Linked DNA regions of Neurospora crassa OR74A. The main gene of each other region encodes a partner of the protein of the gene in region 2 in a complex. Links are inferred from orthologs where the notes say so. Each region holds a gene or a part of one and is shown on either strand. Other genes may lie near its edges.

What was found. Proteins that work in one complex are often made in the same cells at the same time.
Region 1: the proteins of NCU07672 (region 2) and NCU03623 are in contact, whole or in part, in a crystal structure (PDB 6OP8), measured with the Schizosaccharomyces pombe proteins. The link is inferred for Neurospora crassa OR74A from reciprocal best matches to the Schizosaccharomyces pombe genes cue1 and ubc7. Residues at the interface, in NP_587825.1 of Schizosaccharomyces pombe: Asn173, Arg174, Ser175, Lys176, Leu177, Lys181, Arg184, Glu185, Leu187, Phe188, Arg191, Lys192, Glu193, Met195, Ile196, Leu197, Ala199, Arg200, Arg202, Met203, Lys206, Ile207, Glu210; in NP_595778.1 of Schizosaccharomyces pombe: Met11, Tyr14, Lys15, Leu17, Thr18, Glu19, Asn20, Gly21, Pro22, Asp23, Gly24, Ile25, Thr26, Ala27, Gly28, Pro29, Ser30, Asn31, Glu32, Asp33, Asp39, Leu41, Gln43, Gly52, Leu54, Arg161, Leu164, Gly165.

The regions. Positions count from the first base shown.
Region 1 is NC_026505.1:1,882,986-1,887,042, forward strand, and holds NCU03623 (ubiquitin-conjugating enzyme E), read right to left. Parts: upstream 2,235-4,057; 5' UTR 1,849-2,234; coding exon 1,602-1,848; intron 1,481-1,601; coding exon 1,227-1,480; 3' UTR 902-1,226; downstream 1-901. Other genes in the region: NCU03622 (UBA/TS-N domain-containing protein), read left to right, coding at 1-526, 635-736; NCU03624 (hypothetical protein), read left to right, coding at 2,600-4,057. UniProt on the Schizosaccharomyces pombe protein: Catalyzes the covalent attachment of ubiquitin to other proteins. Functions in degradation of misfolded or regulated proteins localized in the endoplasmic reticulum (ER) lumen or membrane via the ubiquitin-proteasome system.
Region 2 is NC_026504.1:2,290,089-2,294,188, reverse strand, and holds NCU07672 (hypothetical protein), read right to left. Parts: upstream 2,343-4,100; 5' UTR 1,882-2,342; coding exon 1,579-1,881; intron 1,460-1,578; coding exon 1,094-1,459; 3' UTR 778-1,093; downstream 1-777. Other genes in the region: NCU07671 (hypothetical protein), read right to left, coding at 1-36, 134-494; NCU11372 (hypothetical protein), read right to left, coding at 2,978-3,049, 3,113-3,254, 3,316-3,519, 3,573-4,100.

The sequences.
Region 1 (4,057 bases), on a different chromosome or scaffold from region 2:
ACGTGAAATGCGCGACCTCTACGGCAAAGCCCTCGCCCGCAAGGCCGAAGCGCTGGAGCAAATGGAGAAGTGGGCGGACGCCGAGAAAGTATGGCAGAGTGCTGTCGAGGCTGGTTTGGGTGGGCAGACGGCGGCGGCGGGGAGACAGAGGTGTCAGAAAGCTCTCGCTCCCAAACCTCCTCCTTCCGTCTCTGCCTTTACCAAATCCGCTCCAGCTCGTCCCCGCCCAACTCCCAGCGCAGCAACAAGTCAAAAATCCTCCGAAGCAGTCCAACGTCTCCGCCTAGCCAACCAGGCCGCGGAGAAGGAAGGAAGCGAAAAGTTTGCTCTTGCCGACAAGGTGGATGCGAAGATTGCGAGCTGGCGCGACGGCAAGAAGGATAACTTGCGCGCGCTGCTGGCGAGTTTGGATAATGTGCTGTGGGAGGGGAGCGGGTGGAAGAAGGTGGGATTGCATGAATTGGTGGTGGCGAACAAGGTCAAGATTGTTTACATGAAGGCTATCGCAAAGTGTCATCCTGATAAGGTAAGCTTTGTCTTTCTTTTTTTTTTCTCTTCCCCTTTTTCTGTCTTCTTGGAAATTTGAAGTGAATCAGAAATATCCGGGATGGTTGCTGACGAAGATGATAACCAGATTTCGACGGATGCGTCAACCGAGGTTAGGATGATTGCTGGAACGGTATTTGCCACGCTTAATGAGGCTTGGGATAAGTTTAAGAAGGAGAATAATATGTGAGTGTAAGGGGCGGGTGGAATAGTAATGGGTTGATGAGAAACGTAGGGGGGCGGAAGGGTTAATGTTCTAAACTGCTTATTGAGATATGATACCTATATTAGAAGGAACGGGAAAGGAGTGCTAATAAACCTCAAGCTACTTGTCTGCTGTAGACATGTCTCTGTTCGAGCGGACAAGGCGAACGGAGGTCATATAGAAAACATCATCAACATGGGAATAGGAAGTTCGTCATTATTATCCTCAAAGGAAAACACCAGTGCCATGCCATGCTAATAAAAAAGTATACCTCAAACCACCACCCTTCCTCTTGTTCAAAGTGCTTAGTCACTCCGAGATTCTTTTACCACCCTTTACCACCACCACCACCACCACCACCACCACCACCCCCGTTCTCGCTCTCTATCCACGAAACCTTCTTCAACCACTTCACACAACGAACCCGCCCTTCCATTACTCTCTTCATCCTCTTTCTTCCCAACTCTCCATGCCCTTAAAGCCCCAAGCTAGCCCTCACACTAGCCTTCACCCTCGCCTCGTACTCGCTCCTCTTCTCCCTCCACATCTTGGCCGCCTCCACGTTCGCCGGACTCTCGTCGTTAGGCTCCGCCAACATGCTCATAACAGATAACAAGATTTTCTCGACGGACTGAATAGGTGACCATCTCTCCGAGGCAGTCTCGTAGTGGTTCGGGTCGTCGCCGGGTGGGTGGAGGATCGAGATGCAGACCAGACCTGAGGGGTAGACTGTTGGAGGGTTGATTTCCGTTAGCACTTTGCATGCCTGACCACCACAGATGGTGAGAAGAACCAAGTGAAGGATAAGAGAAATAAAAAAGGAAGAAGAGGAAGGAGAAGAAGAACACACCATTAGGATGGAATATATCCCCCAGAAACTTCATGGTCGGCGGCATATGCGGGTAATCGTTCGGAAACTTGAGTTCTGCGGGGAACACGCCGCCCTCAAAGGGGGTGCCTTCGGGCCCTTGGATCAGGCATTCCCAGTGCAGCAGGTCGTCTTCGGAAATGGGGCCCGCGGTGATGCCTTCGGGTGGGTTGTTGGTTAGAGCGCGGTATTCTTGGAGGAGACGACGTTGGGCTACGTTGAGAGACATTGTAGCTGTTGGTTGATGGTGGGTGTTGTTGTTATTGTTGGGGTCCTCGTGTGGTGTTGTTGTTGTTGATGATCGAGACGTGGGGCTCTCTGAGGAGAGTGCCTCGGGGGCGGTACTGTGTTATGGATATACGCTTTGGTGATCGGGATGGGAATCGCGTGGTGTCGCAAGCAGTTACTGTGGGTTGGGCATATGGTTAAGACGAAGGTAGATATGTCGTGATCTACTTCTTATCGATTGTTTGTTTTGGTTTAAGAAACGAAGTGTCGAACTGAATCGATGCATGCAGGAGAAGCGCGGAGGACACACTGGGCTGCAGCGGGGGTTGTCAGCGGCGCAGTTGCTTGACACGTCTGACGTCGGTCCGCTCGGCGGGGATTGATTTCCATGGGACGTCTCGGGACGGGAATTGGGGAAGCTGCTGCTGCTGCACCACAGGGGCCATACATGCTAGGGCCCGGGACCCTTCCAGAAGCGCCTACGACAGGTACACCAGCCGGGGGGTTCTAGCGGCCGGGTGTGCTGTTTCCCTTCCTGAGCTGCCGGCCGGCAACCTGAGAGCTAGACTACCTCTAGGGAGGTAAAAAAAAGCTCTCGGTCAACCGCAACCGGCTTCCTTGTTATCGCAATTGGCTGTTATCGCATCTGCCATTCCATCTATTCTTGTTTCGGTTTCGGAAACTCGATGGCTCGTCGTCGACTGGGAGCCACGCCGCTCTAGCTTGCCAACCTCTCACCTCGTCAGCCAGCCATGCCGCCAACGCTGGGCCTACGACGGGCTTTACAGAGCCGCGGCCGCGGTCTCGGGTTTGGCCAGCGGACAGTACCGTCGTCCGTATGTCTCTTCTGTTCCTTTGCGACTCGGCCTTCCACTTTTCCCACATCGTCACCACTCAACAAGCTCCGGGCAACGAGGGCAAAACCACAAGAAGCGCCGGCTGTTCGACCACGATACCAATCGACCGGCGCCACCCCGCTCCGGCCCTTCATAAGCACGCCCTCCGACGCCGCCGATGCCGCCCCGGCCGAACCAGAACCAATTGATCCCCGCAAAGACCTTGAGAGCGCTCTCCGCGACTTACAAACCCTCGCACCCAACCACGTCAATCTTCCGCGCCTCCAGCTCGCCCTACGCAACCTTAGCCAAGATCCCGGCCATGAATCGATACGAGTCGCATTCCTCGGCCTCACCACCGGCGACAAGCCCCAACACACTGCCAGGGAGCTGCTCCGCCTGGCACTCGCCGATCCGCTGAAATCCGCCCAAAACTGGGAAGCGCAACTCAAGGCCCACGACCCCTCCAAGCCGCTCATCGTACACATCGGCCCTCCCGAGGAGCAAGCCACGCCACTGTCGCTTGCCGCGAGCGAACATGTGATCCCCGAAATCACCGTGCCGTCGCACATCTACAACGATGCCAACCTCGAGATGATAGTCATGGAGGCCGACCAGGCAACCGTCGCGCAGGCGGGCGAGCAGCCACACACCTTTGACGAGGCTATCCTCGTGCCCGCCGTCGACACAGCAGCCACCACAGCCGGCCACTCGGCGCCCATCGTCACGCCCGTGCACATGGCCGTGCTGGTAGCCGACGGCGTCCTGAGCGCCGCCTCCATCCTGTCACTGCCCATCAGCCCAGAAAGCCAAGACACCATCACGGCCGTCGCCAACTTCAAGAGGATCAGCGCCGAAGACAAGGCCGCATGCCCGTCCCTGGTCATCACTAGCGTCGAGGCTGGTGCACAGGGCCTCGACCTCTTCCGTGAGAGCGCTAGCAACGCCATGAAGTACGAAGCCCTCTGGACCGAGGCCGGCGTGGGACACATCAACAAGTGGCTGCGATCCAACGTGCTGTCGCAAGCTGAGCAGGAAGGGGCCACCAAGGCGCCCGTGCGCAAGCTGATTGAGTCCATTCTGCACAACGCCGGCGCGGCGCTCCAGGCGGCCGAGTACCGCGACATGAAGGTCTCGGTAGAAGGGGGCCCGTCGCCGCACACGATTGCGCGCCTGAACCAGGCGCTGGCGGACTGGGCCAAGGATGCGCACGAGGAGCTGCAGCAGCAGTTAGAGATTGCGTTCGTCGGCGAAGCGTGGAGGCAGATGAACTGGTGGAAGCTGTTTTGGCGGGTGGATGACGTGGGCATGCTGTCGTCTGAGATGATTGCCCAACGATTCTTGCCCGAGGCTGAGAAGCGCTTGATCTTTTTG
Region 2 (4,100 bases):
GCGATTCTTCGGCTGCGTTTACGAGGAGACTTGTGCCTGGAGAGAGTGACAGTCAAGATCGAACAAGGTTAGTGACCAATTTGGGACCAACCGAAACCAAACACGGAGAGAAAATCGGCTGGGGTTCGCTCACCTTGCGCTCCATATCGCCAATCGATTCCCCGCGTCTTTGGCGTTATTGTGATTGGCACGAGTCCACGTTCCGAAGTGCTCGTTGGAGAGGCCAAGCCAGCCATAAAGTATCCGGTTCCAGCCTCTGACATCTTCCTAGTGGCAGTTATATCGTGTTTGGGTGGTGGTGTTGCCGACATAGGTGTGGAGGGAGTGGAGGCGGGTTTGAGCTTGGTCGGGGGGATTTCCCCGTCACCAAATAGAGATATGTGGTGCTGGAGTGATGATATCGAGAACATCGAGCGCAATAAGGAAGGGCGTCTATGTGGAGGCGTCGGCGGGACTGCCTTGGGGCTGAATGTTGTTCCCTCATTTGGCTTCATGGATGCCGATTGATCCTGCGTAGCCAGTTGATAACTTCCAGTTTATTCGAGACGGACTTGAGTGGTCCAAGGTCAGCTTCGTAAATTTGATGTTGGAAGTTGCAAGGGCCACCCATTTGGCTGGCCAAGAGCGGCTGCAAGATGTCAACGCCGGATGTTGCCGCTGAGGAGAGATCCAGGGTTTGACCTCGCACATATGAGACCTGGAGACAAGCTGCAGTGTCAGGTGCCTTGCTGCGATGGTCGACTCCAAAAGCAATTCCACCTCTGGCGACGTATTTATCGGGCTTTCAATCTTATAAATACGAATGTCTTCGTACAAAGTTGTAGCTACGCTGAAACACCAGATGACCCCTATTGACCACAGAGAACGCTTCCGATCTATCCGACCACCTTCAGCCTCATCATGATGCCTAGTTCGTCTCTTACAATCTATACATGCCCCAAACTGTGACATGTGTGTGATAACTCTCTCAAACCCCTTCCACCAGCCTTTCCTCTTTAAAGTTGTGTTGGTTCTATACGTTGTTTCATTACATGCAAACATGTTCCACTCCAATACTGCCCCTTACAGAGCCAAAACTCAAGCCGATGGGCCTTCAGTTATCCCCGGCGGCGGCGGAGCCCGAAGCAGCAGCAGCAGCCGTCTTCTCCGCCGCAATCTTGGCCTCCATTTTCCTTCTGGCTTCGATAATCATCTGATCCCTCCTCTTCCGCAGTAACGACTGCCTCTCCTCGCGATTCGAGCTCCAGCCTCCTGTCTTTGGGGCGCCGGCCGCCGCCGTCCCGGCATCCTCCGAAGGGGCGCTGGCAAGTTTATCCCTCAGGTTATACCTTGTGATCAGATCCGGGTGGACCTTCTTTTCCGCGTATTTACTGGCGGCGGCGGCAGCTGCACTTTGCTGCGCAGCAGCGGTTGTCTCTGGCGAGCTGGGTGGAGGCGGAGGCTGAAAGGTGATCGGAGGCTAAAGGATGGTTTGTCACTCAGGTGTTAGCAAAAGCTCTCTACGAGTGACGAGCAAAAGCGCATCATATGAGGCATGGAGAACGAAGCTTGGAAAAGTAAAAAGAGGTCGGAACTTACAGTCTCCGTTCTCCCGGCCAAAATCCTTTCTGTTGTAGCCTGCAAGTTTCCTCCATGGCGCTGCAGATCCCACAGGATAGTCCGTCTGTCTACCTGTGGGAACATCTGTTGTATCGTTTCGACCGCCGCTTCTCGTTCTCGTTCCCTCCGTCTTTGCAACTCCTCTGGTGTCGCGCCGCCTGTCCCGCCCGGCTGGCGATTCGCCGAAGACGCATTTCCGCTGAAGAAGAAGTAGCGTACTGCTAGGCCAGTGACCAACAGTACGATCACCAGGGAAGGGATGTTAATCTCTTCCTCTGCCATTGTAGACTGTTATTTTTGTTGGTTGTTGACCCCTCTCGCAATCGTTCGTTTGCGCGATGTGGAAGTTAGGCTGTCGCCGAGTAACCGGTTCCTTCGACTGGGCAGCTAAGTCCGGGAAGTCGTGGGGGTTTGCTGAGTAAGATCTATAGAATGGAAATCTAGTATTCTTGTCCCGGCGAATTCTAGCTTGTGTTGTTGCTTGAAAATCCCCGTCGAAAAGTGCTTCGCTCCCTAACGCCTGACGTATGATGCGCGTCGCAAGACGATGCCGATGACTAACGGGATTGAGGCAGGTGACGCGTGCCAAGGGCAGTCGATGTCGATGTTGGTGGCAAGGAGAGGATGAAAGAAAGGAATGCGTTGTGACGAGATGCAGTTGATGGATACGATGGTCCCGAAATAGGTAGTGTGGCCAGCGAGGTCGAAATTACAGGTAAGCGTTGGTTTGCCTCCTAAGTATGTAGTGTACAGACGAATATAGTGTACATAGGTGAGTGTGATGAGGCAGTTGGGGAAAGCAGTGACATCCATGAATTCGGCCGCAGTGGGGCAATGCCAAGCCTGCGACCGTAGCGTAACAATGAACGGAATGATTACACAACTTTCACGTGTGAGCAGGCACTGGTAACAGCCAGGAGGTTGCGTGTAATTACCAAAACGAAAGACGTCGCGTAAGCTTGCACCGAAATATAGACAGTTTGATCGCAAACGTTGGAGCTTGGAAGTGTTTGAATATCAAGCAACAGTTGTTTCGACCATGATTGTTATGCAGATAATGATCTGTCCGGTACGGCTGGTATTCCTATGTTATTTCGCTGACCGAAACCCATGATATCTCTGACTTTTCCCATCTGAGACGAGCCCCTTGACCATGGATGATTCAACAGCGCTATACCTTGGGTTGTATCCGGTAGGTTCAGATATCTAATAACCTCCCTCCTAAGCAATGCGGTCCGCTCAAAGAGCTACCCGGTGAATCCTCGCAAGGTATGTCCGCCCCTGCGAAGGATACCCTTTCGAGGCGTGTCGAGCTAGCCCTTTCTCTATAACCCAAAGCACGAATGCATATGCATGCCGTGCTGATGAGTCTGAAAGCTTATGCTCCTATTGCTGGCATTGGAACGCCGAGGTTGGTCTCCAGGTCGCAATAATACAAAGTGAACTCTCTCTGGAGAGGTCGTTAGCATATTCCACCTATAAGCGAAAGGCCGAACCACGGCACACTACTTACCCGCTCCTTGTGCCAGTTCACGGTGTCCCATACGATGTAGTAACCCCGTTCATGAGCTGGGCTTAGTTGAGCCGTATTACCCATCTCGTCCTTGGTAAGCCACACTTGAAGCTTCTTGTGCCATCTCCAGTTCCGCGTAGTTCTGTGTGGATTGGTCAGCTCCATAACGACAATCAAACGGAAGGTACTGGGAGTAGTCTTACAGCTCAGCTGCAGCCAGTTGCTGCTTGATGTCGCCCGGGCAGCTGTAGAAAATCCACATCAAAGTCTCCTCATTAAAGCTCTGAATCTTGGCCTCAATAGGCTGTACGTTCTTGACCATGTAGCATTCGGGTATCTTGAACTTTGGCACAGCCGGCCTGGGAGGGACATCGTCCAGTATAGAGTAGATTTGCGTGGAATACAGCCTGGAGAAGATCAGCTTGATGCTTGGGCTCGCGAAAAGTCCGGTTACACATACTCAGAAGAGTTCAGCTCCAACCCTAAACTGGAAGGATCGATCCCGATAATGAGGGAGTTGTAGTCGGGGAAGTTATTCATCAAGGTGCGCAAACCCTTCAAGCCAAACTTTTCGATGGCGGGCATGCCCTCCAACGGATCTTGGACTTCGTTGGTACGGCCCCTATCCTCCTCCTTGCCCTTAGCAGATGGAGGATCGTTTCCAATTGCGCCGAGCGGGTTCCTGGTACCAATTGCTTGCGAAACGGCATCGCCCACCGAAGAGCGTGAAGCCATACCGTCCTCCCGATACACTGGCGGCTTTTGGCGTCCTTCTTCCTCGTTGACCGGGCTCCTTTGGTCGTGCGGGCGTCCAATTGCAGTTGGTGAACGCCCGTCTGTGGTGCGCGTGTTCCCTGTCAGCGCGTTCAACAAGCCGTTATTTGTCCGATTGGGGTGAATCGATGGAGTAGATCCGAATCCCAAACCTGGCATGCCACCTAATTCGCCGTTTGCACTCCTGTTCAACGGAGGAAAGTCGTCCGTAACA